6 linked regions of the Rattus norvegicus genome follow. The protein of the gene in region 4 interacts with the protein of the main gene of each other region in a pairwise test. Links are inferred from orthologs where the notes say so. Each region holds a gene or a part of one and is shown on either strand. Other genes may lie near its edges. The genes, in order: Stk16, Atpaf2, Ntaq1, Rpia, Ptpn11 and Pcmt1.

Evidence for each region.
Region 1: the proteins of Rpia (region 4) and Stk16 interact in binary tests that used the Homo sapiens proteins (3 or more experiments, as listed by UniProt). The two-hybrid records come from large-scale screens. The link is inferred for Rattus norvegicus from reciprocal best matches to the Homo sapiens genes RPIA and STK16.
Region 2: the proteins of Rpia (region 4) and Atpaf2 interact in binary tests that used the Homo sapiens proteins (3 or more experiments, as listed by UniProt). The two-hybrid records come from large-scale screens. The link is inferred for Rattus norvegicus from reciprocal best matches to the Homo sapiens genes RPIA and ATPAF2.
Region 3: the proteins of Rpia (region 4) and Ntaq1 interact in binary tests that used the Homo sapiens proteins (3 or more experiments, as listed by UniProt). The two-hybrid records come from large-scale screens. The link is inferred for Rattus norvegicus from reciprocal best matches to the Homo sapiens genes RPIA and NTAQ1.
Region 5: the proteins of Rpia (region 4) and Ptpn11 interact in binary tests that used the Homo sapiens proteins (3 or more experiments, as listed by UniProt). The two-hybrid records come from large-scale screens. The link is inferred for Rattus norvegicus from reciprocal best matches to the Homo sapiens genes RPIA and PTPN11.
Region 6: the proteins of Rpia (region 4) and Pcmt1 interact in binary tests that used the Homo sapiens proteins (3 or more experiments, as listed by UniProt). The two-hybrid records come from large-scale screens. The link is inferred for Rattus norvegicus from reciprocal best matches to the Homo sapiens genes RPIA and PCMT1.

What each region holds. Positions count from the first base shown.
Region 1 is NC_086027.1:84,152,233-84,157,623, reverse strand, and holds Stk16 (serine/threonine-protein kinase 16), read right to left. Parts: upstream 3,340-5,391; 5' UTR 3,145-3,339; intron 2,959-3,144; 5' UTR 2,870-2,958; coding exon 2,784-2,869; intron 2,253-2,783; coding exon 2,033-2,252; intron 1,746-2,032; coding exon 1,612-1,745; intron 1,464-1,611; coding exon 1,343-1,463; intron 1,217-1,342; coding exon 1,121-1,216; intron 760-1,120; coding exon 638-759; intron 529-637; coding exon 390-528; 3' UTR 108-389; downstream 1-107. Other genes in the region: Glb1l (beta-galactosidase-1-like protein precursor), read left to right, coding at 4,772-4,831, 4,994-5,160, 5,387-5,391. UniProt on the Homo sapiens protein: Membrane-associated protein kinase that phosphorylates on serine and threonine residues. In vitro substrates include DRG1, ENO1 and EIF4EBP1. Also autophosphorylates. May be involved in secretory vesicle trafficking or intracellular signaling.
Region 2 is NC_086028.1:45,717,001-45,722,317, forward strand, and holds the start of Atpaf2 (ATP synthase mitochondrial F1 complex assembly factor 2), read right to left. Parts: upstream 3,508-5,317; 5' UTR 3,374-3,507; coding exon 3,214-3,373; intron 1-3,213. Other genes in the region: Gid4 (glucose-induced degradation protein 4 homolog), read left to right, coding at 4,136-4,324. UniProt on the Homo sapiens protein: Plays a role in the assembly of the F1 component of the mitochondrial ATP synthase (ATPase).
Region 3 is NC_086025.1:91,572,157-91,577,447, reverse strand, and holds the start of Ntaq1 (protein N-terminal glutamine amidohydrolase), read right to left. Parts: upstream 3,590-5,291; 5' UTR 3,450-3,589; coding exon 3,361-3,449; intron 1,462-3,360; exon of another isoform or gene 1,400-1,461; intron 1-1,399. UniProt on the Homo sapiens protein: Mediates the side-chain deamidation of N-terminal glutamine residues to glutamate, an important step in N-end rule pathway of protein degradation.
Region 4 is NC_086022.1:104,286,477-104,291,237, reverse strand, and holds part of Rpia (ribose-5-phosphate isomerase), read left to right. Parts: intron 1-366; coding exon 367-435; intron 436-1,080; coding exon 1,081-1,222; intron 1,223-3,199; coding exon 3,200-3,299; intron 3,300-4,761. UniProt on the Homo sapiens protein: Catalyzes the reversible conversion of ribose-5-phosphate to ribulose 5-phosphate and participates in the first step of the non-oxidative branch of the pentose phosphate pathway.
Region 5 is NC_086030.1:41,077,473-41,082,233, reverse strand, and holds part of Ptpn11 (tyrosine-protein phosphatase non-receptor type 11), read right to left. Parts: intron 3,379-4,761; coding exon 3,266-3,378; intron 882-3,265; coding exon 812-881; 3' UTR 791-811; intron 204-790; 3' UTR 1-203. UniProt on the Homo sapiens protein: Acts downstream of various receptor and cytoplasmic protein tyrosine kinases to participate in the signal transduction from the cell surface to the nucleus. Positively regulates MAPK signal transduction pathway. Dephosphorylates GAB1, ARHGAP35 and EGFR.
Region 6 is NC_086019.1:3,947,343-3,952,103, forward strand, and holds part of Pcmt1 (protein-L-isoaspartate(D-aspartate) O-methyltransferase), read right to left. Parts: intron 844-4,761; coding exon 739-843; intron 304-738; exon of another isoform or gene 137-303; intron 1-136. UniProt on the Homo sapiens protein: Initiates the repair of damaged proteins by catalyzing methyl esterification of L-isoaspartyl and D-aspartyl residues produced by spontaneous isomerization and racemization of L-aspartyl and L-asparaginyl residues in aging peptides and proteins.

The sequences.
Region 1 (5,391 bases), on a different chromosome or scaffold from region 4:
CCTCAAGACACCACACCAGTACTTCCTGTCAGGAGATACCCTTGGAAATGGCAACCAGAGTTCATTCTTTCCCTCTAGACACATTGACCTAAAATACACACAGACTGTTTTCACTTTATTCTACTTTTTATGTATTCTCCTGCTGCCAGATCTGGAGGCAGAACATGATGTGCGCCCAGCAGCCCAGCTTTGAGCCATATTTTCTGTTTCATCCCCCCCACCCCCAACTCACCCTAGGCTCCTTGCCCAGGTATTGGGATAAGAGCAGAATATACAAGGACCCACCATCCTTGCCCCTAATGGTGAGACCCATCTTGTGTAGATCAGAAGTTCCAATGAGGCATGAGAGCTGATTCAAGGTCATCTTCCCAATATGCTCACTGATTTGATCAGATTTGGGTGGTGTGCTGGCCAGGAGCTGGTGGCTGCAATGCCTCCAATTGACTGAGGAGGACAGGGATGTGAGGGCGTTGCTGGGGGTCCACAGTCATCATAGAGGCCAACAGCTGTCGCAATGCTGAAGAATGCCTGTGGGATGGGGAAGGCAGAGGACTGGAGGACACCTAGAACTGCTAGGATTCCAACTCGGCTGGCTCTAGGCCAAGTCTACAATGCTCAGTGTCCTCTTACTCCTCACCTGGGGCTTTGTGGGATGCTGAGGTCATTCTGCACAGCAAGGGCCACACTGTCACCTTTCTGGAACACCATATCATAAGGGCCTTCCCCAAACATCATTGCATAAAGCACACAGCCTAGGGACTGAGCATAATTTGGTTAGTTCCTGGAAGGTGAAAAATGGCATCTCTCTCCTTATTGCTATGGTAAAAGGAGACCATGTAAGCTAAAAATATGCCAACCTCGCTCCAAGGAACCATGTTAGCAGGAAGGAGGTCTGTGTGCCCCTGCTTAGCCAGTGCCTCTAGCAGTTCAGCCACAGTGATTGCACAGCTTCCTGAGAACAGTGTCAGTGATGGTTCCCAGGAAGGAAGTGGACGGGTATGGAGACATACTGTGGCTCTGGGGTTCCATGCAACAGAAACCAAGTCTCCTTCCCTTTAATCCAAAATAGTTACAAAGCCACACCCCTCTCCACCCAGGTTCCCACCCACATGCTCCTCACCCAGACATCAGTCCGCTCATCGATGACACAGTGGCTTTGCACAGAAAAAAGTTCAGGTGCCCGGTAGGAGATGGTGCACCGCTGGGCTGCCCAGTCCTGGAACAGTGTCCCCAGAGCTCAAAAGTGGAGCACAAGCCATATCATGTGACCAAATTGGTGCATGCATCAGAATGGTCTGGGGATGGGGAGGAGATGGCCAAAGAAACCTGGGGACTCTCTTACCTGTAGAGCTAGGGCCTGGCGAGATCCCTCCACTTGGATGCATGCTTGATTCATAGAACCCAAGTCCATTAAAACCGGCTGCCCCTCATCACCAAGCAAAATATTGGTGGGCTTCAGGTCCCTGGAGGGAAGTGAAAATGACCCAAAGGCATCCTGGGTAGGTAGGCTGGTATCCCAGGGAGCACCATGAAGAGAGTGCAGAGAAACCCCACTTCTCTTGGCATTGCTCTTTCCCCTGGCTTCAATAAGTGTAGGGCCCGCCCACTGACCTGTGTGCATAACCTTTGGCATGAATGGCCTCAAGGCCTCTGCAGATACCCAGCAACAACGGAAGGATTTGGTCTTCAGTCAGGAAGTTGCCTTGGTCCTTCAGCCTTTCTATCTCATTCCACAGTGTACCTCTCTACAACACAAGTTTTCCGTGTTGAGACATTCTGAAGCTTCCATTTCCCAGGATTCTATTTTGTGTTGAAGTCTGTCAACCCTTTTACCACATACACTCTCACTGATCATTTGGGGCTATGTGTGATGTCAAGTTCATAGGGGATCCTATGGTTCTCTGAGCCCCAAATATAAAGTGGCCAAAACCAGGGTGTGTGTTCCTAGGGTATTTATATTTGACTGCCCACAGAGCCCTTGGTGGGGTTGTACAATGCTACAATCCCCTCTATAACCACAAGCTTTTCTGACCTTGAAGAAGGGTAGCAGCAGCCAGGCTTCATGCTTAGCACCTCGTTCTTTCAAAGAGTAAGCCATGAGGCGAAGGATGTTTGGATGCTGGAAGAGGCGATGCATGTCTGCCTCTCGTTGGGCCTCTTCCTGGTCCTGCTGCTCATGACACAGGATTCGCTTCAGGGCGTAGAAGTGTCCATCATGTAAGCCCTCCACTAGGTCCACGTAGCTGAACCCACTGTGGGCCAAAGGGGTCGATGAAGGACCACGGTCGTCTCCCATATGGCTTAGACCCCGAGAAATTCCCTTAGGGAAGGGTGCCTCTCACATGGAGTAGAAACCCTCCCACGATGTAGTTCTCATATAGTTTCAAGACGTTAAGGTCTGCCATCTTCAAGAGCAGGGGCACAGAAATCACTGAGACCCTTTGGTCTGAGCATAAGATGCTCAATTAATTTCAAGTAACAATCAAAATTTAGTAAGTGCTCATGAGCCAGGCACTGGGTGACATGTTTTAAAGAATATACTATCTAACTTAGTTTTCTCACCAGTCCCTCAGTGAGACATTATAATCATCTCCGTTTAAGCAGAAGAAACCAGTTTACTTAAGGTCACACAAAGTAGATTCAGGAGGCCAGGGCCTAGAATACAATTCTTGACCTATTCAGCTAACCGGTCAGGTGAGGTAGAATCTAAGGCTAATACTCTTGTGTCCCTATTACTGCCCCTAAATGACCTGGGTCTAGCTAAGTGACTTCCATACACTCACCCCTCCCCCAATTTCTGGACGAAGAGGTAACGCTTATTGTCAATGATGACAGTTCCCCGGGAACAGACACACAGTGCATGGCCCATAGCGTCTCAGTCATCCTCTTCAAGGATGGTCTTTCTTCCAGGGAGAGTGGGCTCTTCCAGACGATGGGTTGGGGTCCCGGCGGATCATGCTGGAATGAAAACAGCAGGTCGCGGGTAAAGAACAATCCAGACAGCCACTGAGATACCAACCAGTAGAGCTCAGGTTCACCTCCGAGAACCCAGATTCACATCTAAAGAAAACAGTCCCTGGTGACTCCAGCTCTAAGAAGGCTGAGTTCTGGCACCCCAAAGCCTCAGGCCACGCTGTGTCTTACCAGGCCGCTTCCTTCAACCCCGGCCCACCTTCGGCCAGGTCCAGCTCTCACACCCGTGAGGCATGGGGTGGCGCAGTAGGTGCGGGACTCGAGCCCACCTCTGGCCGAGTCCACCCTCCGTCGCTGAGGACCGAGCACAGGATCTGCCAATACAAACTCTTCAGTGACCTGGCTCCTGCCTGTGCAAAGGGCCAGGGACCGGAAGCTACGGTGACATCATCAGTCCGCGTCGAAGTAACGGCCTGCTGTATCCTAGCAACAAGAGGCGGCAAGAGGATGTGGGGACCCGGAAGTGAGAGGCCGGGGCCGGGCTAGACCTGGGGTGGGTTGGTTTCTATATCTCGCCGAGGGTTCCCACTTGCCCTTCAGTAAGGGTCAAGACGCAGGGACTTGTACCAAAGGGGAGCAAAGCAGGGCTCTGCCCGAGTCCCCTAGGACCTCCGTCTCTCAATGTCGGAGGTAGGAGGCCTTATAGCTCCCGCGCGCTGGAGTTAGAAAGTGACTTATTACAATCTAGCTTTGAGGAGGGACCAGAGAAAGGCGGGTGCTGACCCTTAGATCCCTGGAGGTCTGACCCCTTAATACTTTTAGGGGTCTGGCCTGTGTTCCACTACCTGGCCAGTGTCAGAGTGTGCCCTTGAACTAGATGCCAGTTTCTAAATCTGGTCCTAACAGTCTCCTAGCTTTGTCACCTCCAGGAATTAGTCTTTCAGATCCGCATGTTTCCCAGCTGTAAGTCAGTACCTACAGCAAAGTGTTGTGAATTATGAGGCCAAAGTGACTAGTTCAATCCCAGCTCTACTGAACTAGTTGTGACTTTGGACAGTCACGTAATATTTCCAACCTTCATTTTCCTCGTGTGTAAGATGAGAATGAAAATCATTTCATGGGCTGTTTCAAAACTAAATGAGATGTCTTTTGTACAGTTTTTGAAACATAGCCTTCAGTGTGTGTTAATAAACAGAAATTATAGTATTTTCTACCCTGACCCTGAAATCCACTGGTGTGAAGGCAGAAGAAATGGAAAATTAGACTTCTAAGCTTATGCAGTTTTCGTCACATCTCCTGCCTAGACAGACAGGTATATATTGGAAAGGGGTGCGCCTTAAAAATAAGAGTGACCAGAACAGGCTCCTTGTAACCCATTTCCCCTTTTCATAGTCATGATCACCATGAAGATTTTCTGGTTTCCACTGTTTCTGAATCCGTTTTGACCCTACTGCTACCATTCATATAGATTTAGCCTGATTTGTGCCAGATCCTTTGCTAGTCATGAGGACATAAGACGCCGTTCCCGCCCTCCGAGAGTTCAGCGTAGAAGAGCAAGCTTGTTAAAGTACAGACTTTAATTCTACAGGTCTGGGGTAGGACCCGAGATTCTGCGTTTCTAACTAGCTCCCAGGTGATGCTAATGGAGTTGATTCGGGTTCAGCACTTCGAGAAGTAATATATAGAGGATTTTACAAACTAGTGGATGGTGGAAGGCTACGGGCAGAGTCCGGGTTAACTGGCCTGAAAACTTGAGGTGGTCTCCGCCCCTTTGCTTGATGAGGTTCCCTCCCAGGAATCCGACACGTGACGGGTGGGAAAGCCCTCACTGAATAGAAGAACTTTGTAAGGTCCGAAGATGCCACCCGACCTGCCTTCCCTGCTCCTGCGGCTTGTGATTCTGCTGCTGCTGTCCCAGGTAAACCGAGAGGGTCAGACTGCCTGTCTGGGTGTGGGGAGGGAAAAACAGAAAACAGTGGAGAAATAGCTAACTACTGACAAGGCCAGTTTTATCTCTTAAGCACTTGGCAGACACTGACCCTTACTCCCGACCACTCGAGCCAGACTTTTGCCCTTCCAGGCAGAAGCTCGCTCCTTCGTAGTGGATCGGCAACATGACAGATTCCTCCTGGACGGGGTCCCGTTCCGCTATATTTCTGGCAGCCTGCACTACTTTCGCGTACCGCGGGTTCTTTGGGCCGATCGACTTCTCAAGATGAAATTGAGCGGCCTCAACGCTGTGCAATTGTAAGAAGTGCTCGCGAGAGCTTTGTGAAAGCGAGGTTTACTCTTCTTTAAAATTGGGGGGGGGGGGTTCCCCAGGAAACTGACTGGGTTTGTAAAGGGTTTGAGCTCCAGGACCCCTCAGGCAAGGGTGAGAAAGGGCGGCCCAGAACCTCTTTCTAGCTGCATCTCTGCAAGTTCTGAGTTTCCTAGGGAAACTCTAGGTCTTATTAACATCTTCGTTTCTCAGTTATG
Region 2 (5,317 bases), on a different chromosome or scaffold from region 4:
ATTTAAGTTATGGATGGTTGTGAGCTGCATGTAGGTGCTGGGAACCGAACTCAGGTCCTTGGGAAGAGCAGTGCTCTTAAGCACTGAGCCAGCACTCTACTCCCTACTGACTGCCTTTTACCTTGATAAAAATGTTCTTAAACTGATTGTGATGGTCATTCAAATTACTGAATATACACTAAGAAATGTACTGTATACTAAGTGAATTTTATGTATTAGATTTTTAAAATTTTATCTCATCTGTGAGTGCTTTGCCCAACTGTATGTATGTGTGCTGTGTATGTACTTAGTACCCACAGAGGTCAGAAGAGGGTATTTGATCCCCTGGAACTGGAGTTACAAATGGCTGTGAGTTACTATGTGGGTCCTGGGAACTGAACTCATTCCTCTGCAAAAGCAACACATGTTCTTAATCCCTGGGCCATCTCTCCAGCCCCTCAAGTCAACTAGATCTTAATAAAGGTGTTTAAAATTCTGCCAGGGCCAGAGAGATGGCTCAGTGGTTAAAGGTGCATATGTGCAAGTCTGACCCCAAGTTTAATCTCCAAACCCATGTAAAGGTAGAGAGCAGCACTCTCAGAAGCTGTTCTCTGATCTCCACATGTACACAGTAGCACATGTATGCCAAAATACATATGGACACAAACAAATGTAATAAAATCTTGCAGCCAAATACATCAGTGCACTATTTTCCCAACTGCTTTTCATCTGGAGCAGAGGTCAATACTCTAGGTTGTTCTGGCCAATATAACAAAATCAGACAATATGTATGAGTATGTGGCTGTGTTCCAATAAAACTTTATTTCAAAAGCAGGTAGAAGTCTGGTCCCTGACACGCCTATGAGGATGGCAAAGCAGGCAATGCCTCTAAAGTGGCAGAAACTTGGAGAAGCTGCCTTGGACAGAGGGGCAATTTGTACAGGACTTCAAGCTTTTATTTCTTTGGGAATTTGCCCCAAATGCTGCTTCTCCAAACTACATCTCCCTCTGGGCAGAAAACAGGAGGGTGGCCACAGCCTCACAAAGGTCTCTGCACCACACTACCTCCTCCTGTAATGCTGCAGTGAGCCCTTCGAATGTCCCTCCTCTCCACACAACCTTCCATGGTGTGGCTGTCCCTCAGAGACCTTGACAACTAGAGTCTTCATCAAGAAGGACTTAATAATTTATATGCTTCAGAGATACACAGAAACATCTCACACCTGGTGAGGACTTGGAGAGCAGAACATATCCTAGGGAGGCAAGGCATAAACAAAGACATTCGGGAGGTCACTAAATAGGCAAAGGGTTAATTTAAACGAGTAGACACTTTTTGTTTTCCAACATGGAAGTGCTTGATCTGCCATCTTTTCTTTTGTATACAGACTTACCAGTTGGCTCTTAGCGTTATCTAGCACATAGTAGGTAGTCAAATGTGAAAGAAAATAGGAATGTATGAGTGAGGCACAATGAGATATGTGGAAGTCAAGCCCTGTTCTCCTCCCCCTCCCCCATGACCCCAAGTGATCCTATCTCAGACTCCCAAGCAGCTGATACATGTGTGTGACACCACTAAGCTTCTTCCTAGCCCATTTTTAGGCCTTCGTTTATGTCCTGATAAGTAAAAATCAGCTCCCTGCTGCATCCACTCTTCTTCCACTTATATAAGATTATGGGTTATAGACCATGGAAATGGCTCACCATGTAAAGACACTGACCACAAAACCCAATATCCACAGTTCAATCCCTGAAAGCCACAGCCAACCCCTGCTAGTTGTCCTCTGACCTCCATGCACATGCCAAGGGCATATATACATATACATACTAAGTAAAACAAAAAATTATGGAATTTACAGCCTAAAGAATCCTTAAAAGCAATCTCATGCTTCAGATCACCAAAGAAAACAACATCATACCTGCCCAAGACCACAGTACCTCAGAAGTTTAGCCAACAAGAGACCCAAGGTTTGTACTCTTCTGCCAATGCCAAACTGCCTATGGAATTGTTGCCTAATGAGGGCAGTGTTGCAGCAAGATCTCTAACACCCAGTCATCACCTCTGGACATGCTACACCCTTTTCCTCCCCCAGCAAACTCTTTTTTTTTTTTTTCCTTTTCTTTTTTTTCGGAGCTGGGGACCGAACCCAGGGCCTTGCGCTTGCTAGGCAAGTGCTCTACCACTGAGCTAAATCCCCAACCCCCCCAGCAACCTCTTACTCATCTATCAAGCCCCAGTTTGAATGCCCTTTCAATCACCCTGTACACACTCATCCTTGTGATCTCTCAAGTCCTTCGTACTTCCCACATCAGTGTATTGCAAACTATTGTTTAGTGAGCATAATGAGTCCTGCATCTGATGTTGCGTACCATTCAGGTGAGACCACGTGCCCTCAACACAAAACATGTAACCCAACGAAGGGAGGGAGGCCATCATTACTTTTCATTCACCAAAGTGAACCTCACTGGTAAAATCTCACTCCAGAAGCAATGAGATAACCTTCTTTCAGGATTACAGTCCTTAGTAGGTCAAAGAAGCCTGGTATAAAGCGTCACTATAGAGAAGGCTGCAGAGAATGCAGAGGTCGTGGCACTGCACTAGGACAGAGGGCCTGCAAACCCTTAAGGAAGTGTGTGAGGGTGTTAGACTTAAAGCCAGCCTGCTCTGTGCCAAGTCTTGTGTTGGCTGGGTCCTGGAGACAAAAAGCAGTCAAGCTAATCTTTGCCTCCACAACTTCAACCAGTCTGCTCTGTGACCTTGGAAGTCCTGATTGAAAGCCTAGATTTTCCTTTCTGAAATCAACGAACTCCTGTTTCCCTTTAAAAGGAAAAAATTGAACCAGGTGCACGCCTGTAATTCCAGTACTCCGGAACTAGAGGTAGGAGGATCTCAGAGTTCGAGGCCAGCCTGATCTATAGAGTGAGTTCCAGGGCAACCAGGGCTACACTGAGAAACCCTGTCTTGAAAAATGAAACAAGCAAAAGGCGAAGAAAAAGAAAGGAAACTGAGAGAAGCCTCAGCCAAATATCTCCTACCCTGGAAACGCTGTGTCCCCTAAAGTCACTCCCGCACTGGTTTGGATGTCATTTTTCAAACTGAAACAGAGTTCTATTACTCTGAATATTCTCATGGGCCTGAACCCTGCCTCAGTCACCCCGCACTGCACGTCGGAAACCTTCCGCCAGGTGAGCCCGACTTGGCTCCTGAACAAAAAGTAACAGAAGTCCGGGCCTCACCTGTTGGCGGGACGTAGGCCCGGGCTGGAGGCCTCAGAGCTGGCCCCGGCCACAATGAAACGGTGGGGTCACCGAGAGGCCGGTCCAAGAGACCGCGCCACCGGTCCCTCAGCCGGGGGTAGATTCGCCACATCATGCCCAAGGGTTTGGGTGGACCCATACGTGAAAACAGTACAGGAATAGAGCGAAGAGAGTCCCCCAAACGCCTCGCTGGTTCCGTACGGAAACCTCTCACCAAGGGTTCAAAGCCCTCAGCCTCCTCAGCACGCCGCCATCTTCGTCATGACACCTACGGCACGCCGTCACAGCCACGCGCCCCCTGCGTACCGCCCCCGCCCCCGTCAATCAGCATCACAAGCGTGCTCGCCCCGCCCCCTCCATGCCGCGCTACGGGAAGAAAACTACAAGTCCCAGAGGGCCATTCGCGCACCGCACCACGTGCTTTCTCTGTCTGCCAATGGGCGGAAGCGCCGCGTGAGCTTGCTCCCGCCTCTCCGGCGGGTCCGCGCCAATTGGAAGCAGTAGAGTGTGTGTGTGTTTGTGTGTGTGTGTGTGTGTGTGTATGTGTGTGAGTGTGTGCGCGAGTGTGTGTGTGTGTGTGTGTATGTGTGTGTGCGCGCGTGTGTGTATGAGTGAGTGTGTGCGCGTGTGTGTGTGCATGTGTGCGTGTGTGTGTGTGTATGTGTGAGCCCGCGAGGGCAAGTGGGAAGGGGAGCCCAGCTCAGGACTGGGAGGCCCTGCTTGCAGGTCTCGGGGTCCAGGTGGCGACACGAGCGCTCGGTCAGCCGGCAGCGGGCGGGTGGTTCCCCAGCCCCTCCCCCGCGCGTGCGCGCCCGGGTCCGCCCTCCCCGCAGCTTCGGCTCCCGCGCGGCGGCGGCGGTTCCTTCCCCCTCCCCCAGCCCTGGCTCCGGGGGACCCCGCGATGCCGGTCCGCACCGAGTGTCCCCCGCCGGCGGGTGCCTCAGCCACATCCGCGGCTTCACTCATCCCGCCGCCGCCCATCAACACCCAGCAGCCCGGCGTGGCCACCAGCTTGCTCTACAGCGGCTCCAAGTTCCGTGGCCACCAGAAGAGCAAGGGGAACTCGTACGACGTAGAGGTGGTGCTGCAGGTGAGCGCCAGGCGGCAAGGCCCGGCCCGAGGGCCTCCTCGCGGCGCTCACGGGCCGGGCCTGCCCTGGGCTCCTCGAGCCCTCAGCCGCGGACCAGGCCCTCACTGCCGGGGCCTCCTGCACCCGGCGCCTCCCACCGGGACCTGCCCAGCTGATGTCACACTCTCGAACCCTACCCCTAACCCACCCCTAGACTCAGAGCCTGTAGCGGCCAGCCTCCGACAGACCCCGAAGACTGTCCCACACTTGGAGCCTTTGACTCTCCCGCTTGGGATCCGGAAGCACCCCCATGACTAGCCGTCCTTTAGCCTGGGTCGGTTCTTCCCAAGTCCTGTCCTGTCCTCCCTACACCAGCCAGCCCTCCCACCAATCCCTGTCGGATCCTGAAAAACTCTTCATTGGCTGCCCCAAACTCAGTAGCGGCCAGTGTCACATTCTCCCAGAATGAAGCTTTTCCTCTGACCCTAACTCCATCCAAAGTGCCAGGGACCTTGCTCCTTTGAGTTTGGAGAACTCAGTCAGCCCGCTGCTCTCGGGGCGACCGGGGCGAGGTGGGCAACCTCCCTCCATTGGCCGAAACAACCCACAAAGGTTAAGGCTCCCCAAAGACCAGGTACTCACACCCAGATATCTCCAGTTGCACCACTTAGTGTTAAGACCTTGTCTCCTGAGGCCTTCCAGTACCAAAACTCGGCGTCAGTCAGTTCATAGACATCTGCTGCTACACTGTGCTTCCTGCCCCAGGCTTCTTACCCTACCTTGCGCTATAGCTACTTTCTATCCCTGACAGTCGTGTGTGTCGTCGCCCCCCCCCCTTCCCCGCGGCCTCTCCCCAGACCTCACACCTTGGTCTAGCTGGTTGCCATTGCTGCCTGTAGTGTTGCTGATTTTTATCTACATAGCTCCAGAGTTTCCTCCCAGCCTCAGATGCCCAAGTACTGGGAAGTCTAACCCAGTTTTGTTTTGTGTCCACTTACCTCCCCCTATTTGACC
Region 3 (5,291 bases), on a different chromosome or scaffold from region 4:
CAGCCACCATCTTCCCTCTCATCCTCTTCTCCTCACAGCCCTGACTACCAGACACGCCTTGCCTTTGTACAGCTGTCTGCTTTCCAACACTGAAACATAAGAATTGGGAGATCCTGACCTGCCAGATCTGGCATGGCCTTGGTAGGACAGAATGCCACGATTCCTGCTCCTAGGACAGGGCTAGCAGGTTGGGCATAATGCTTGTTTGTACAACTGTGTACATTTTCACACTCCCCTGAGGAATGGCCTACCAGTCAACGTTAATGACTCTGTGATAATCAGAGACAGACAAGACAGTCTGAGTCCAGGAGGCGAAGGTGTGGCTAATGTCTCAACAAAAAGGTAAACACTGGGACCTTCGAGACAACCCTTAAGGCTGTGGAACAAGAGCCCTAAAAACATGAGCTCAAAAATATATAATTTCTCGGGGCTGGGGATTTAGCTCAGTGGTAGAGCGCTTACCTAGGAAGCGCAAGGCCCTGGGTTCGGTCCCCAGCTCCGGAAAAAAAAAAGAACCAAAAAAAAAAAAAAAATATATATATATATATATAATTTCTCAACTACACAAAAAATTTAAGTATGCAATATGAATTGTATAAAGGAGTTTCACAGGTCTAAAGGAACAGAGGCAGCTATACTACGTGCCAGCTTGTTGGAAAGATACAGGCAGATACAAACGCAGGCAGATTCCTGCGTTCAAGATCAGCCTCAGACAGAGAGAATTTAGGTCCAGCTGTGGTCGGAACGGTAATCTCAGGACAAGGTCCCACCTAGCCAAGTTTACAAAGGCAGGCGGATCTCTGAATTCTTTTTGCAATATTAAAAAAAAAAAAAAAAAAAGGAGGGCTGGAGAGATGGCTCAGTGGTTAAGAGCACCGACTGTTCTTCCCGAGGTCCTGAGTTCAAATCCCAGCAACCACATGGTGGTTCACAACCATCTGTAATGGGATCTGATGCCCTCTTCTGGTGTGTCTGAAGACAGCTACAGGGTACTCATATATAATAAATAAATAAAATATTTTTTAAAAAAAAGAAACAAAAAGTGCTTGCTGTCTCCTAAGAATTCAGGGGTTGGGGTCACAGGATTCATAGGGATCAAAAGGGAACCTGGAATAAATAATGGAATTGATATGCAAATTAAAAACTGGGCTTTTGGTCTTCATGAAATAAGCAGTAGCAGTTCTTAGAGAGCTGAGCTGTCTGGAGATCAAAAACAGCTCTTCAAGATTTTTTTCTAACAGGATTTAGAACATGGTGGGAAAATCCAAGAAGGGTGAACCCAACTCTTTCAGAATTTTTCATAGCTCTTTTAGAATTTTTTCTCATAGGATTTATTTAGTTGACACAGCTTGTTTAGGAATGTTTTCCAGCAGCTATCCAGAGAAGGTTGTCTGAAGAGCAAACATAGCTCTTTTAGAATTTTTCCCCCGCTGGCTTTCTGATCTTGATCAGAAAACCCAAGAATTACTTTTCAATTTTTTCTAACAGGATTTCTGACTTTGGTCAGAAAATCCATGAGCTATTCAAAGAGCTTTTAGAATTTTTATTAACAGAGAGAGCTGTCTTGAGCAGAAAGCTAGCTGTCTCAACTGGAAGGTTTTCAGAATAGCAAGAAAAAGCTGTCTAGAGCAGAGCACACAGAGTGGTCTGAAAGTTGTCTGGAGCAGAAAACACACACACACACACACACACACACACACACACAGAGAGAGAGAGAGAGAGAGAGAGAGAGAGAGAGAGAGAACGAAAGCCCAATCTAGAGAGCCATCTCAGCAGAGGACAGCAGCTTGGACCCACAATTTGACTTTGAGTAGTTTGTTGGGGTTTTTTTTTTAAGATGTATGTATTTATTTTATTTATATAAGTACACTGTAGCTATCTTCAGCCACACCAGAAGAGGGCATCGGATCACATTACAGAAGGTTGTGAGCTACCATGTGGTTGCTAGGAATTGAACTCAGGACCTCTGGAAGAGAACAGTCAGTGCTCTTAACCACTGAGTTATCTCTCCAACCCCCAAGTAGTTTGTTTTCACTGATCCCAAACACCCCTTTTAGAAACCAGGACCTAGCTCCTTGGCACTGCCAGGAAATTTATCCACATTCTTTACTGCTAAAACCTCAGTGCACAGACAGAATCAACCAACATACATTTCACATCCCAACAAAATATTTACTGAATAAATGAAAGATACAGAAATGCTCCAGATAAAAACTAGCAATGGAAACCAAGTGGAGCAGATATACAATGCAACAGCTAAAAAGCAAAGACTTCCAACCACCATGTAGACTCCAGATCTCATTCCATCACTTAGTTGTGTGGTCAGAGGCAAACCACAATCATTCTATGGTTCAGCCTTTGTTCTGTCAATAACTACCATAGAACCTGTCTCCAAGACATTGCTCTACCATCCACTCTCTGTGGACCCACAATCTGTGGGTCGTGGGGTTAAATATCCGATATTTACATTATGATTCATAACTGTAGCAAAATTAGTTGTGAAATAGCAATGAAATTTTTACAGCTGTGGATCACCACATGAGGCTCTGTATTAAAGGGTTGCAGTGTTGGGCAGTTGAGAACCAGAGCAAGCAACTGGACTTGGGTTAAAGTGGTCACGGCTGAATGAATGTTAAGTTCTTAGTATCCTTGGTAGAGTGAGGAGGAGTATGTTTACATGATCCTGAGATTTCTTCTGGGTTGGGGAAGCAGTCCCTACACAAAAGGAAGGTGAGGCCTGGGAGCCAAAAAGCCAAGGTGGACAGTGTTTGAGCTGCAGAGGTAGCCTAAGGGCACTAACCTCACAATCCTGAGGTCTTGTGTAAAACAGCAGCACCCTTTTGTGCCTCAGAGTTCTTCAAAGCTGCGATCACAACAGAGCCTACCTCTTGGGGTTACTGTGAGCTTCAACTGAGTTAATTTACACCGTGCACCCAAAACAATGTTTGGCATATGGCAAGGACAGTGCAAATGTAACCATTATCATCACGCCAGTTCGGTGATCAGGATAGCCAGTTGCATGGACTGGGTTTCCGGCTACCACAAACTCTGTGTCTCCATTGTCTTTAAAATTAAAAAGACCTCTATTTCAACCCGAAACAACACAGACCACAACAGTTACCGTAGGGTCTCCAGTCTAACTCCGCTACCTCGTCCCTGTGCACTAAGACGCCTCAACTCCACCCCACAGCCCTCGCCCAGTTATGGAGACCAGAAATGCGTTCCCCAACCTCCTCATCCCGGCGCCAAACCCGGGCAGTGTGGGCCTGCCGCGCTCGGAGCAGGACCGGGAGAGGAACGCATTGGTGGCGGCGCGCGAAGACGCGCAGATTCCCGGGGACCGCGCCCGCGCTCCCTCACCAATAGCAGCTGCTGTAGACACATGCGTCCCGCGTAGGGCAGGCCGGCTGGTACTGCGAGGCCGTGGCGGCGCGGCTGTCCCCCTCCATGACCCGAAACTGTGGCTCACAGAACAACTAAACAACCCGCTAGCCACAATTGTTGCCAATCTCCCAAGCGGAGAGGACAGGAGTGTAGACTGCCAGGACAGTTTCCGGGTAGAAGAGCCGGGAGCCGGGAGCCGGGAGCCGGGAGCCGGGTGGGCGGGACCCAGTGCAGCGTAGGGCGGAGCCCGGGACGACGAAGACTGCGTGGTTCCGGATGGGCGGGACTGGGAGAATGAGTGGGCGTGGGGCCTAAGGTGGGGTGGGGCGGGACTGCTGGAGTGGCGGCTGGGAATGCGAATCCTCGGACACCAAGAACTGTGTAGTTCTTGCTAGGTCTTACATGGTGGGTGGAGCCTGGGGCTGAGTAGGATCCACTCAGAGGCTTCTCTCGCCTCCGACCGAACGGTTCTTGAGCTGCGCTGCGTGGACCTAGTCGCCCTCAGGTGGAGGGATTGCTTGTGTTGTAGCAGTGTTAGGTATGAGTTTCCGGATACCCCTATTCTCCAGCTAAGGTTGCCAGCTGTATGAAACCAGAAGAAACCCTAAAGTAAGAGATTCTTGGGCATGACAGCTGAAGCTTTAGAAGTCGAGCAGGAACCGAGAAAGAGGGAAAGACTAAAATTGAGCGAGTGCATCCAAATCTGACCATATTGTATTTTAATTTCTTTTAATCTGGATGTGTGTGTGTGTGTGTGTGTGTGTGTGTGTTTTAAAGAAAAAAGTTTTAACCAGGTGTGGTGTCGGATAGTCCTTGCATCCTTGCATGCAGGAGACTGAGGCAGGAGGATTGCTTTGAGTGCAAGGTGAGCCTGGACTACAAAAGAATTTTTCTTTAAAAAAATTTATTTAAAGAGTCTGGATAGCATGTTGTGTTAACCATATTTATTTTCAGAAGGAAAGACACCAAATTGCTAAAAGTGTTTATTCAGGGTGAATGAAGGACACAGAGAACTCTCTGTAGACATCCCAGTTTCCTGTGTGTGCTGTAAGTGCTCAGAACGTCCCTGCAAAAACTGAACCTCTTAAGATTGGTTTATAGGCCACCCAGACTCTCAGCCTTCTGGGGCCCAAATCCCATAAAGTGCTGGTGGTATACTGGTGAAGTTTAGCTGCTTTCCAAAACCCATAAATCCTAAGAACTAAACATGTGTTTGTGTCTGTTACCAATTTATTGCTTCAGCTTGAATATTCAATTCAACAGAGGCTCAGTGGTGTGTGGGAGGGTGTCATGAAGCCTCTCTTGGTTGGTAAAATGAGTGTAAGGTTAAGCTTTCTGAGTAGAAGGATGGAAAGATTTTGCAAGGGCAAGAATCCCTGCAGTTTCGAGCAGACCAGAGCTAGTTCAGTCCATCATGTGTGATCAGCCTAACCTGCAGTGCGGTCAGCTCTGGACAGACACCAGAGCGTGGGAAAGCATGCTTGCAGTTGTAGGTGGACAGCAATCACACAATGGCCTTCATCCTCTTTCCTCCCCTCATAGCACTCTTGCCCCAGGTGCTGTGGGAATCAACCCCGCTGTTCTCAGACTCCCCCTCATCTGCCCCACACCACACCCAACCCCACCCACCTACCCCCACACACCATGGTCTAGGGGTTACCTGTCTGCCCTGCAACTGCACATCGTCCCACACTTTGGCAACTCCAGCAAACTGATCTGCCTTCTATTAGCCCTTCCCTTCCTCAATGAACAGGAACCAGTTTCAAGTTACTATTTACGTGGGTGTTCCACTCCAGCTGTCTTAGGGTTACCATTGCTTTGAAGAGACACCATGACTAAGTCAACACAAGAGACAACATTTAGTTGGGGCTGGCTTACAGTGTCAGAGGTTCAGTCCATTATTATCA
Region 4 (4,761 bases):
CAATAGGCCAGACAGTTCAGTATGGCTGGCCTGGTGCTGTCACATAGTCCACAGGGCAGGTGTTCCAAACTGGGCATCTATTCAGGACATGTCCAGAGTCATCTCCCTCACACAGTGCTTCTTAGATGCCTGTTGGAGGGGAAGTGCTTAGCCTGAATAGAGCCATTGTCTACTTTCTAGGTTTCTACCAGACACAGGCAAATGTTTCTGTATTCATTTACTAGAAAGTAGCATTATAGGAGCGAGGATGGCTCTTTAAAAATGGAAGCCAGTTTCTCTTTAAGTATCAGGATTGAACACATTTGGGACACCCACATCTGATCCTACTTCTCAAATGAAGATGATCTCACTCTTTTTTCCTGTCAGAGGCTGCCTGACCCAGGAGAAGATTGTGGCTGGTTATGCCAGTCGCTTCATTGTGATCGCTGATTTCAGGTACTGTTCCAGGGTTTTTCGATTGAACCGAGAAGGTGTATGGGTTCCCACGTTAGAGGAGGAAGCCTGTGGAGGAATGTAGGAGGATTACCTGCTCTCTAGGATGACAGGCAGTGACTCTGCTAATCACCACAGCACCCAGCACTCTTGCATTGAGCTGGGCCTTCATGTTTGGGGATGGGGAGGAAGCAGTGTCACCCTGTAGCCAGAGCTCCTCTGCATGTGTTACTCATTAGGTTTTCACAGGGAGCCTCAGGAAGCAGGGCAAGCACCGTCCATAGGTGGTGACTCAGCACATCCTGCTTCCTCTGGGGTCAGGCTTTTCCACACATGACTGTGTTATGCTCAGTCTTTGACCGGGCTGATTCTCTTTCTGGGAGCCTGAGAGAGGAGGCAGTGTTCTGAACTTGTTAGAAGAGCTGTCTGCATTTGTATTACTCAGGAAATACCACAGCTGCAAGGACGGCGGGGGTTAGCTGGCAAACCATCAGAGCAGATTTTATCACTTTTGTCTATCAAGTCTCTTTAGTGTAAAGCAGCCCTGAACTGTCCTAGTCTCTTTCCCCTCCAGCTGTCTAGGTAGCCCCTAGCCTGAATTTGGTTTTGTATGTTGAACTTATTTAATTTCATTGATATTTTTCCCAGGAAAGATTCAAAGAACCTTGGGGATCGGTGGCACAAGGGGATTCCTATTGAAGTCATCCCAATGGCCTATGTCCCAGTGAGTCGAGCTGTGACCCAGAAGTTTGGGGGTGAGGTGGAACTTCGAATGGCTGTCAACAAGGCAGTAAGTGGCCAGAGCACCCTGACTCAGTGTGCTGCTCTTGTTCTTTCTGTGTCAGTTAGGTCCTGAAGCCTTTGGTGCTCGCTTAACCTCTCAGTTTCCTCCATAGTAGGGGGCGTGGTTCTTTCCTGACATTGCTCGGGGTTGCTTGAGGTCTGGACTGCCCTGTGAATGGCCTCTAAACACTGTCTTTTGGGAAGCTCTGAGGGGACAAAGTTTTCCAGGGTTTGTGGTGTGGTATTTTTCTTTTTTCTTTTATTCTTTCTGAGGCTATCATTGCAAGAGTACAACTCTCATCTCAAAGAGGATAAGAGATAATTTTACTTTAGAGCAAATAGGAATAACTGTGGCCTGGGAACACACATTTGGGTATTCCAAATTCTGCATTCCAGTGAGGTAACACTTTTAAATTTGTACAGAGACAAAACAAAGGTCACAAATGACACTTTTCTTTTTGGTTCTTTTTTTTTCTTTTTCGGAGCTGGGGACCGAACCCAGGGCCTTGCGCTTCCTAGGCAAGCGCTCTACCACTGAGCTAAATCCCCAACCCCGACACTTTTCAAATACATTGGAAACACCAGGTAGGTAGGTCATAGAAAAATGGGGAAATTTTACCTCCCCCCCCCCCCCCCATTTCTGTCCTGGAACTAGCTCTAGACCAGGCTGGCCTCAAATTTATAGAGAGCTGCCTGCCTCTGGGATTAAAGGCAAGCCCCACCATTGCCCTAGCTCTGGTAGCATTCTTAGCCTTTTGATTGGTGTGAACCACAGTGCATTTGCCTTTCAAAGAGTATAGATGGCCCAAGATATTCTGCCTGTGGATTAGTAGCAGTCTATACTAAACTCCAAAGCCATTGAAGTTCCAATTGGTCAATCCAAGTACAGAAGGCTAGAGGAAGATGGTTTTTTTCCAGGAACTTTCTGTACAAGGTAGCCCTACCCTCTCTTTTTTTCCAGTTAGGCATTGGATTCAAGGCTTCAGGAAATGCTAGGCAAGTACTTCATCACTAAGGAGGTAGACTTTCTGGGGGTGGTGGTGGTGTGAACATGTGATACCCCGTGGAGATGTTTCTCTTTAGCTTCTGAGTCTGGGTTACAAAGAACTTTTTCTTTCATATTTAAATAAACAACCAAATGTAATGATCCCAAACTGAAATATGTGTAGCTATGTGTAGCTATTAGAAAAATTTGGGAGATAGAGAAAATGAAATGATTAATAACTGCCCTGACATACTTTGTTGACTTCTCTTTAGAAAGAAGCTGGGATAACTGGTTATGCAGCACCTTATCTTAGTACTTAGAGAGGCTACCTTGAACTTGCTATGACCTTGAACTCCTGATCTTTCTGCCTCCTACCAAGTGCTGGGATAAGACATAGAAGCCACCACACCTGGTTTGCCTTTGTACAGTTTTAACTGCTCCATGCCAGGCTGTAGAGGAGTCTTACTACTTACTTACCTCTGCCTGTGTACTGTCAACATTTATGTTACTAAGCAATCTGATTTCTCTAGTGTCCAGTGGTGTTGAGGAATTCTGGATTCAGAGCTAAACTGTTCGTCCCCTCACCTATCTGTCTGTCCGCCCATCCTTTTAATGAGACTTGCCGATGGAGAAGGTGTGCTGCGAGAAGGCAGGCAGCCTTACGTTACAGCACTGCTGCTTGTGCTAAGCTTGGAGATGCAGCCATGTTGTCAGGCAATACTCTCGGTTTTCACTCTGCTAAGTTGAAAATGTCACTGCCTTGAGCCCTTCCCATTTGCATCTCTGTCCCCCTTTTTGCCACTGAAGAAACAAGTTTCAGAGAATTCAATGGCATTAAGACATAATCATAGTCTGTAGGACTCCAAAGTGCCTGCTCATCTCTGCTTCATGGAGCCACCTTCTAGGAAGCACAGAGCAAGGACATCTGTCTGGCTGTCATCTTTCTTGCTTTTGCCTACCTGTGTTTTCATCCTTGGTCATTGGAAAATTGTCTTCTAGGGGCCTGTGGTGACAGATAATGGGAATTTTATCCTGGACTGGAAGTTCGATCGGGTACATAAATGGGGTGAAGTGAACACAGCTATCAAGATGACTCCAGGTAAGCTGGGTGTTCCCTGGATGTCACCTAGTGTCTCCCTTCATAACTACCCCCTCTTCAGGCCACAGAAGGCAGCATGACCATGTGCTCAGTTTATACCATGTCTGAGGTTTTGTACTTGAGTCACCTCCCTCCCCCTGGTTTGTGAAATAGTGCTGATGTATATATATTTTATAGTCTGTTGGCATTGGGATAGCCTCCAAGCTGATGGCAGTCAGAGGTGCTTGCTTTCAAATAAGGTCACCATCCCCGGGAGAGACCCCTCCCTTTTCCAGGAGGCTGATGCAGCCTCTTCGACCTTTGTGGAGGAGGTGACTCAGTTCACCTGCATTCACTGGTTGTGTATCATAGGCAAGATGCCTTGCCTGTATTACATGGAATTAGTCCTAGATTAGAGCTGATGTAAACCTGGGGGAGGCTGTGTGAAGCCACGTCTGCAGATGCTGAAGTGCTGCTTCTGCTGGAGGAACAGCAAAAGTCCAGTCCACAGGGGTTGCTTTGTCAGGTAGGGTGGTTTCTTAGATATGGTATTGATCTGTGTACATGATCACGTCTTCTAGACAGTGCTTAGCATCCTAAAAGGTTTTATTAAATTCCCACTTAGATGAGGTAGTTAACAGGGGACCACATGGGCCCAGAGCTAAGCTAAGTGGTTTGCCTAACAACTACGACATCAAGGTGAGAGCTCTAGGTTTTCTGTCTCTTGAAGTTTTAAGATTTGTGTTATTTTTAATTATATGTGTGAGTATGTGCACTTAAGTGCAGGTGCCCATAGGGACCAGAAGAGGGCGTCTGATCTCCTGGAGATGGAGTTACAGCTAGTTGTGAGCCTTCTGCTTTGGGTGCTCAGAATTGAACTTGGTTCTCTACAAGATCAGTGTGCTCACTTAAGCGCCGAGCCATCTCTCCAGCCCCAAGACCCTGAACTTGAACGCTCACTCGCTCAAGTGAGACTGTATGTGTAAGCATAGACTTTATGCCACAGGATAATCGTAGGAGTTGAGGACCTACCTACCTGGGTGAAGGCTGGGTGAGCTGGATAGAGATGAATTGGTGTTCAGGCTTCAGTCTGGCAGGTCAGATGTAGGAGGGATATACAGGAGGAGGTGACCGAAAGGCATCGCTCTCCATGCAGTCGAGCAATCGAAGCCATAGCTGGGCAGTTTTTCAGAGTGCAGTGTCTGAGTGGATGCTGGGACAGACTGCCTGGATGGACTTTTAACCCTGCCATGCTCTAGCAGTATGAGCAGTATGTCCCCTATCAAACAGCTCCATGCCTCAGTTTCTCCTTTTTAAAAAGGGCCAAAACTAGTACCCACCTCGTGGGGTCACTGTGGGGATTAAATGAATTAGGTCACCTCTTAAAACAGTGCTTGATGACTAAAGTCCCTAGGGGAGGATGTACTGCTGTCTCCACTAATGAACCACTAGATTGTGCCCACGCAGGGACTCATGACTGTAA
Region 5 (4,761 bases), on a different chromosome or scaffold from region 4:
ATGACAATAGCACTGTCGACAACGCAGAGCAGTTTCTCCTTAGCTGAGGAAAGGAGGTGCCAATTAGGCACGTGCTCTTTCAAATGGTTCCAAACTTCGCTTCTCAAAAGGCAGTCAGTCAACCCCGGCGAGCTTCTGAACACGGGTCCTGGAAACTTTCTCGTCTATTCTTGACATTTTAGGGAAGGGGTGAAAGTTCACATCTGAGAAAGAAACAAGTTACAACTTTTAGAGAGCACACATCTAAAAGCATGGGAAGCTTTACACCTTCTTTGGGAGATGCTGGGCACTGAAACTAGCATGTCACACACACACACGCATGTGCACACACACACACACATGCACACGCATGCTGAATAAATGCTTTCTGTTGAGCTACTCTGTCACTGACAGACATTTCCATGTGTGATACCATTCTGTGTGTTTCTAACTTACCACAAAAGACAGGGAGGCATCTCACAGAGAAATGACTAAATCAAAAAAGCCAGGGGAGCCTGGGACCCCACGTCCTCAGAGGCATCCCTGCTGTTGATGCCAAGAGGTCACAAACAACAGGGCATGTACCACCCAAGTCCACTCCATCCCTGTCAACTGCTGTGCCAGCTCCATCCCATGCAGTTAACTGATCTGACTTAATGAACTGTAAACCAAACCCGGCCTGGAGAGGGGCAAGGCAAAGAGAAAGGCTGGTTTGCACGACTCAATCACAGGACGTCTTGCTCTGGCACGAACAAGTCGCCTGCCTGTCTGGACCACTGTGGCCGGCCCCAGGGAGAGACTGGTGTCATACCTGCGCGCTGCCACCCGAAGCTCATCTGAAACTCCTCTGCTGCTGCATGAGGCCCACGTTCTCATAGACTCGAGCGCTGTCCTCCCGCATTCTGTAGACACACAAGAAGGAAGACACTTACCTGACTGCCATGTCCAGCTAGGCCAAGACTGACCCCTTCTCACCCAGGAGCTGGCTCTCAAAATGGACATCAGACACAGACTATTATGAATTTGGAAAATCAGCAGAGGCCCTGAGTCCTGTCTTCCAGAGTGTGAATGGAGGGAAGGCAGCTTGGAGGGCAGTGAAGGAGTAGGTGCACAAAAGACAGGAACTGTGGCCATTTCCACAGAGGCATCACAAGTGAGGGCTCCAGTCACCCTTAGAGCCTTGGATGAAGAACTAAAAGCACCCAAAGGCCTAGTCTCCTTCTGTAAAGAAGGCTATTAGCCAGCTGTGTGGGACAAAAGGATAGGATCTCTGAGCAGCCCTGGGGCCTAGGATCTCAGGTGTGCATCCCTCATGGGACAGCACGAAGGCAGATTGCCTGTCAGTCACTGGTGAGCTTTGTAGGAAGGGTGCTCACCCAGTAGTGTGAGTAGCGTGAGGTGCTGCTCCCCAGCAGGTTACTATAGCTATCGATTTAAGACACCAGTATCACCAGTCAGCCTGCTGGGGCAGAACAGAGCAGGAGGAGGGAAGGTGACTCAGGAGAGAACACCCTTCCCACATGATTTCATTTCTGTGTTTAACAGAGAGAGAATGTAAACACAGGCCTCTATCTGCTATCTATCAGAGCTGTGTAGAGCCAATATTAAAGTCAGCGGGGCTTTAAAAGCCCACAGCAGAAGCAAACAAGTGGGATTCCAGGGGAAAGTAAAAGTAAATGTTAGGGCAGAGAGCAACCTTGTGGTACAGACAGCACAGCTGCTAGCCACGTGACTGGCTAACAAATACTGCCCTGTGTGTTTTACTTTAACCCAAGAGCTTGCAAGGCCCTTCTGGAAAGAACCAACGTGTGATGACTCTACTGGCCAGAGAGTCCCTCTGTGTGCTATGCCTTGGGGTTTTCCTTTCCCAGGTTGCATGAGGGGTGGAGACATGTAAGTCTGGGCTCTTACAGACATCAAGCACTGGGGTGACAGGAGGAGCAGAGTGAAGGAAAGAGGTCACAGTAGACTTCAATCCTAACCTGGCCAAACACCCCTGGAAACTGTCACTTAAAATGCAGGGACCTGGGTTTCCTGGAATGTGAATGTGGTTTCTACTGGAGTCCTGCTTCTCCCGGGAGTCTTCAGTAGCCGGCTACAAAGCACCAGCTCAGAGGACTGGGGTGTTTTACCCCAAAGTGGCCTAAGGACACTGACCTCAAGAGCTATAAGCAGACTAACAGACACAAGGATGACGTGTAGACAGGCGCAGCCACGCTGCTGGTTCAATACTGTACCACCCGAGCTCTCCGAGCCACCATACTGGTGAGTTCTCACAGTGCTGTGTCAGTGAAAAACCAGTGAGCACCAGGAGCTAAGTTCAGTCCCTCTTGGGGTCTGACTGACAGAGCCTGGGCCCTTTCTGCTTCTGGGTGTGTCTCTAGTTCAACTCACACTCTGGAAATGTCAGTTTCCTGTCAAAGATGCACAAACCATTAAGATGGCATCATGTTGAATGCCTCTGGAACAAAACCTTCCCTGAGATCTGAGTGCTTCCAGGAGAGGTATTCATTCTCCAAGCTGCAAGGTCAGCAGGCAGCGTGCTCTTACGGCTCTGGCTGCAGTCTGGGGCAAGCTGCCCTGTGGGCTGAAGCAATGAGCTTGAAGCAGCGCCACGCAGCAGCCGCTCCTTAAAAACAATCTGTCTTCAGCAGCACTGCACCCCCTTCTGGCACTGCGTGGTGTGTGGGAAGAGCTTTGCGCCGTGTCCTGTCCCTAAGCCGCCTGCTGCTTCCTTTGCAGGATGCCCATTCGTAATGGCCCGCCATCTCCCACTAGGATGGCTGCCCCTGTGCAACTGTCACCTTGCTGGGTTTTGAGGGGTCTGTCTGTCTGTCTGTCTGTCTGTCTGTCGGAAAGAAGAACTCCTTTACAAGAGCAAAGCTAGGCCTGTAGGCTCTGGCTTTCTGACCTTTGGTTTAAAAACTCTTATTGGTAGATCATAGTCCTGTCCACGCATAAATATAGAACTTACTTATTCTTACTCAGAGTCAGAACACACTGTAAGGACAGCATTGCCTCTGAAATAATGCTAACTGCAAAAGGAAAACGCGATTTTCCCAGAGAACCCTTCCTAGCATGCTTAGGGCCCCACAGGGTCCTGGAGGGCCCAGCACAGGCCTCCTGGTTAGGGGCCTGGAAACCCTGCTGAGACATCGTCCACAGTCCCTAGAGATCCCCTGCGCCTGACCGCCCCATGTACCATCAGTGGGTAGCAAGCAAGCATGAGAGAGGAATACAGACAGCAAGCTTTGACCAGAGCTATAACGCCAACATCAATACTTACTCCGCACAGGGTGGCGTTGGGGTGCAAGGTGGCAGGGGACTCTGATCGCCACTTGTCTGGTCCACCAGGGAATACTTAATATTGGTATATTCATGTCCTTTCCTTTTGCTTTTCTGAAAGTGGGAAAAAATACAAGTAAGAAGGACTGTGGACTCGACTTTTAGAAAAACACAGGAATAGAAGGCTATTTCATCAAAGGAAACGAGAGAGAGACAGACAGATGGACAGACTAGACTCTTATGAACACTAACATGTTGACCAAACTGTCAGGAGCTCCCGGCCGGCCGGCCCAGCACCTGCAGGAGGAATGCGCTGTGAACACATCCCTAGGAGACCCAGAAGCCGGAGGGATGCAGGAACTGCCCACTGATGCAGACCAGAGGCCTTCCTCCTACTGCACGAGCTCTAATCACCGTGTGCAGGGGTGGAAGGCACAATAATGCACTTTATTTATTTAGCATATTGGCGATGGCACCCAGAGCCCTTGTACCATGTTGGGCATGTGTTGAGCCAGTGAGACACTCCCCCAACCCTCCAACCTACCTCCTATATACCTCAGAAAAGACCTCCGCATCCGAAGATGAAATGGTGGGGCAAGGAAACCAGCAGAGCAAATCAACAGGAAAGTAATCTCATCCCACCATGTGCTTGCGTGTGTGAGAGGTGTGAGCGCTCACACATGCCACACCCGTGTAGAGAGCAGAGAAGAGCCCTGTCGAGTCCGCTCTCCATGCACTGAATATCCGTTGACAATGCATTTGTACTGAGCACGCGCACACTCACCCTAAGTTCAAGGCCTGCCCGGCTACATGAAGACCACAGGAGGAGTGAGTAGGTTCTCTACAAAGCCAAGCCCTTTATACATGGGACAGGAGAGCCTACAGGCTTCATGTCTAAGACTAAGTCCCCTTGGATGCGGAGAGATGGACACACTATGCAAGGTGGCAAGGACCACTGAGCACCATTCATGGATGTGCTCCCAGGCCAAAGGCAACAAATCCGATCAAAGTGGGACTCTTCAGTGGCCACTCTCTCTTCACTCTGGATGCCTTCCATTCTGGAAGATGAAGCAGCGAGGAGAGGGCACTGCACATCCATGATCACAGCACCCAGGAGGAGGCAGGAGGAACAGGATTCTAACCTCATCTCTGGGCTAGAGATAAAACAGCAGTTAAGAGCTCATGCTGCTCTTACAGAGGACCAGGGTTCAAGTCCCAGCACCTACATATGATAGCTCACACCTGGCCAGCTTTAACCCCAGCTAGAGGAGATCTGACACCTCTCCCTTCACAGGCACCTGTGTTTGTGTGCACATAGACACACACAGACACATAATTATAAATAAGATAAATATTATAGAAGAAAGAGACCTTGTTTTAAATCCCATCTCTGAGACTGAAACTGGAAGGGCAGAAAGGTGGGGAGGAAAGAGCAAAGGATAAGGGGGAGGGGGACCCACAAAAGGAACTGGAGCAAAAGGAGGGAGAAGCTCCCCT
Region 6 (4,761 bases), on a different chromosome or scaffold from region 4:
AGACGGCCAGCTAGCAGACTAGTAAAGCTCTTCAATGTGCTCCTCTTTTGCCGTCCAATGGTAAATCACTGTCTTGTGCTGAGTTTCAGACCATGTTTCTCTTCCTTCCGATGTTACACTCTCAAGAGTTATTTACCTGCTTCTGCCTCTGAAGCAGTTTTCACTGAGCGGTGGTAGCAGGTGCCTTCGGGGTTCAGAAGCTCCCCAGGATCTTCTTGCTGACTGTCACCGTGCTTCAAAAGAAGACATGGCAGCTGGCCGACAGAACCTGAGGCACCTCTAAGCCTCAAAGGCGCCCACTGCCAAGGCTCAGCAGCTCAGCAAAACCTGCTTCAGGACAAGGAATTAAATGCGGAACTTTCTAAAGACAAACGAAAGCCAAAGCGTCCATGGGGCCAGTGAAGCAGACCATCAGTGACTCAGTTACCTATTCCTTTAAATACTGATTTTAAAAATCAATGCTAATATGCAATTTCAAAGTCAGGGATCCTCAATAAACAGCACTCAGCTACAACTCTTAAATTTTCATTGAACTTTTGTTTTTCCTTAAAATATTCCCAAACTTACTAATTTGCATAAAAAGATGCATTTTGCTACAAAAGGTGGGTTGGGATATAAAACTGGGCAACAAAATTTCCATTAATGGGGTTATAATCTATATGTGTATACTGCTCTTTTCCTAGTCATAAAATTAGAGTACATGAGAAAAATGTGACTCTTTAGAAATATAAAGCTTACCTATTGACTGTGGAGAATCCATGTAAGGGTTAGATTTTGCATAGTGGGAGCGGTCTGTAGCCAGCATCACCTCAAATACTTTATCTGTCTTGATGATTCCATTCTCTGAAATGAATGAGACAGATATTTTAAGCAGATGTGACATCAGACATATTTCAAAATTACTCTCTCTGGCTGCACTGCAGAGGTCAGAAAGCAGACAAGACCACTGCCTGCCATGATCCAGGCAACGTCAAAAAATCAACATGAATGGGCAGCCGAGGGTCACACAAGGAGCACTCAGAGGTCACGACACGACACGTGACACTGAGGTGCAGGAGAGAGTCCTGAGTTAGAAATCTATTGTGGAGGCATCGAGATGCAGCTCCCAGGCAGGGTCAAGTAAGGACTGGTGACAGGTACAAGTAGGGGCTGGAATGCCGCCCTTGAGAAGAAAATGTTTTTCTTTGTTTTAAATGTTAAAGTATGTTCTGCTGTGTCCTGTTTCTGTGGAAGCGGTTCTCACACTTTCTTGGTAATGTCAAGTTTATTTTGATAATAAGAAGAGGGGAGATTTGTTATATGAATATTTTGAGAAGAAGCCTTTGTTTAGTCGTATTTCTTTGTTTAGTCTTGCCTCAGTTGTTCCTGGTATCGTGGGAATAACGATCTTATGGTATCTTGCCAAAATGGAAATTGTGGTAATGCATATTCATATCTACATAAAGATTAATAAAGCTTGCAACTGTGTGCAGTTGCTTCTGCCTTTGCTCTACACCCTCTGTGCCCTGGTGGTTTGCGACTGTACCCAGGGCCCCCAACACACTAGACATTGACAATCTAAGTCTCCATCCACACTGGTGGTAACTGGAGTAGACAAGAACACACAGAGAAGGCAAATAAAAGCCAGTGCAAGGCAGATGCTGCATAAAGCAGAGCCTTCAGAATGAGGAGCTGGGTAGGTGGCTCAGGACTGTAAGGGAAGCAGAGGCAGGACCATTCATATGGATTGAAGGCCAGCCTGGGCTGCAGAGTGAGTCCCAAACTAGACAATGCTACATAGTAAACCCCTGGGGTAAGAAAGGCAAACAAACAGAAGAACTAACCATGGATGCAGAGGCCAGGTAAAGGCTCAGCGGACACAGTGTTATACAGTCTAAAAGAACCCAATCTTTGAGAAGAAAAATAAGGCCAATTGTATGTATATTTCATGTACAGCTAGTTATGTAATATTGTCTGTTAAAACTTCAGTGGGTATGGTGGAACATGCTTTTAATCCCAATGCTTAGGGGGCAAAGACAGGCAAATTCTTCTGCGTTCAAGGCCAGCCTGGTCTATATAGCTTGTTCACAGTAAGACTCTCATCTATTTAAAACAAAACAAAACAAAAAACTTTCAATAACTCTCATAAACCCATGCTTACAGCTACTTAATAAAGCTCTTACTTCTCTCTTAACTGTGTTCACTGGCTATGGGACATGACAACCTCTTTCCCACAAAAGGATAAACAAAACAGCCTAGTTACAGAGCTACAAGCAGTAAGATTGAATGGTCTTGACTTCCACACTTCTGGAGAGAAATAAAGTTTTCTTGCTCTTTTTGTTTTGCTCTTTAGAGACAGGGTCTCACTATTTAAGTCCAGAGAGGACTTAAACCTACCATTTTTACTCAACATCCTGAGCACTGAGGTTACAGAAACACCAGCAAGTTCAGAATAAATAAAATGTTTAAACCAAAAACATGCTTTGCTTTATTTGACTACATTATAAATAGCTATTTTAAAATGAGGTTTCAGTAAAAGCAACATGAGTAGCTTAAATATTTATGCAAACTTATGTCATTTAGTCATCAATTGTAGAACTTCCAATTTTCAAAAATTAATGTTGGCCATCCAGCTGCTCAAAAAAGACAACAAAATAAAACCCTAAATCTGAGATCAAGAAGGGGCAGGAAACAAAATAAACATGGCCTACAGCATCACCATACCAGGATAATACCAAAGAAAGAGGAAGCAAAAGACACAGATTAAACAATGATGAAATCATTCCCCCCAAAAGGAAGTACAGTGCCAAGTACTGTAGAAGACAGGTTAGTGCTCATGGGTAAGCATAGGAGAGCCTGGGGTGTTAAGTGCACAGTGTTCTTCTTCAAGGGACAGAGTGATTGAAGCAGATGAGCTTTCTAACCTTTGTGCTATCTGTGTGATCAGAGACTTTCCTGGCACCCAAAGCTCCCCAAGACCCTTGTTGTAAGCTTGTTTTCTCAGTCAGTCAAGAGATCCTATCTTTATAGACTTTACAGAGTTTCAATGCAGTCATATATATCTGACTTGTATTTCACCCAATTTTGTTTCTCAAGATTTATGTTGTACACCAGGATTGAATTAATTACTACCAGAATATTTTTCACCAAATTGTGTTCTGATTAAAAATGCCTACAATAAACAACTTTAAGTCAGACTCGGAAGTTTGAACCACCAGCAGCAACTGTTTTGAACCAACAATGCCTTTCTGCCTCCCCCCAGCTCATCTCTCTGCACCCCATTAAGGCCACAGCGAGTGCCCCTCCCTCCTCCCTCCAGAAGATACTATAACATTCAACGTACTTCTAGGGTTTGGAAGAGCACAGTGCTGGCTCCAAGAAATGCCTCATAAGTCACTGGGCCAATGGTGCCAAGACCATTCAACAATAAAAGAACACTTATTTTTGAAAGATTTACTTATTTAATGTATGTGAGTACACTGTAGCTATTCTCAGACACACCAGAAGAGGGCATCAGGTTACATTACAGATGGTTGTGAGCCACCATGTGGTTGCTGGGAAATGAACTCAGGACCTCTGGAAGAATAGTCAGTGCTCTTAACCACTGAGCCATCTCTCCAGCACAAAAAGACTCTTCATAAATGACTCTGAGACAATTAGAGAGCCACAAGCAAAGGGGCTTAGCTTTGGCCTTCCCTTATGACACATATAAAACTTAATTAAAGGCAAATATTTTAAAACTAAATACAGAGCCAAGTGAATCTGTGAGTTTAAAGTCAGCCTAGTCTACAGAGCAAGTTGAAGCCAGGGCTACAAAGAGAGACCCTGTTTCAAAAACCAACAAAACAAAACAAAATTCCATGCCTAAATATAAAAGCCATATGGTAACCTTCAAAGAAGAAAAGATGATGAGGGGTTAGAGATTGCTCGGGGGTTAACAGCACTGGGGGCTCTTGCAGAAAACCAGTTCTGTTCCCAGCACCCACATAGTTCTGATGCCTTCATCTAACCTCTGTAAGCAGAAGGCATGCACAGGGGCATCTTCATGCAGGTAAAATACTCAAAACACATAAAATAAATCTAAAAATATAAAAGAAAGCACTGGGTAAATATTCAAAACTTTAGATTTCACAATAGATTCTGAAATATCAAAACAAAAGCATCAAAACTAAAACAATAAAATAAATTGTGCTTCAAAAAAACCTCTAATCAGAAGGCTTCATAACTGATGGGAAGACCAATGATTTGGTGGGAGAAGGTATTTATAAATCTTTTATCTGCAGAGGTTTAGCCAGGTGTGATGACAGGTCTCATATGTCAAATAAAGCACTTGGGAGGCGAAGGCAGGAGGATAACAAATGCAAGGTCATCTTCTGCAGCGCAGTGAACTCGGGGCCAGCCGTGTAACATGAGTCTCAAAGAACTCTTAAGACTTAGTGCTAAAAACAGTCACTAGGGCTGGGACTCAGTAGTAGAGGGCTAGTCTAACATGCCTCAGGGTTCTGGGTTCAGTCTATAACTCTACCAAAGATAACTACCCAGGAAGTTTTTAAAAGGATGACCCAGGGACTGGAAAGACAGCTCCATGGTTAAGAGTAAATGCTACTACTGCAGAGAGCCCAAGTTTGGTTCTCAGCACCTGCATAGGGGGCCTTACAACCATCTGTAACCCCAGCAGCAGTGGGATCCAAAGCCTCTGCTGACCTCAGGCACCTATACTCATGAACATAGCCCCTCCTCCATATGACATGTTTGTAGAGAGAATCTCCTGCACTGTGGGGA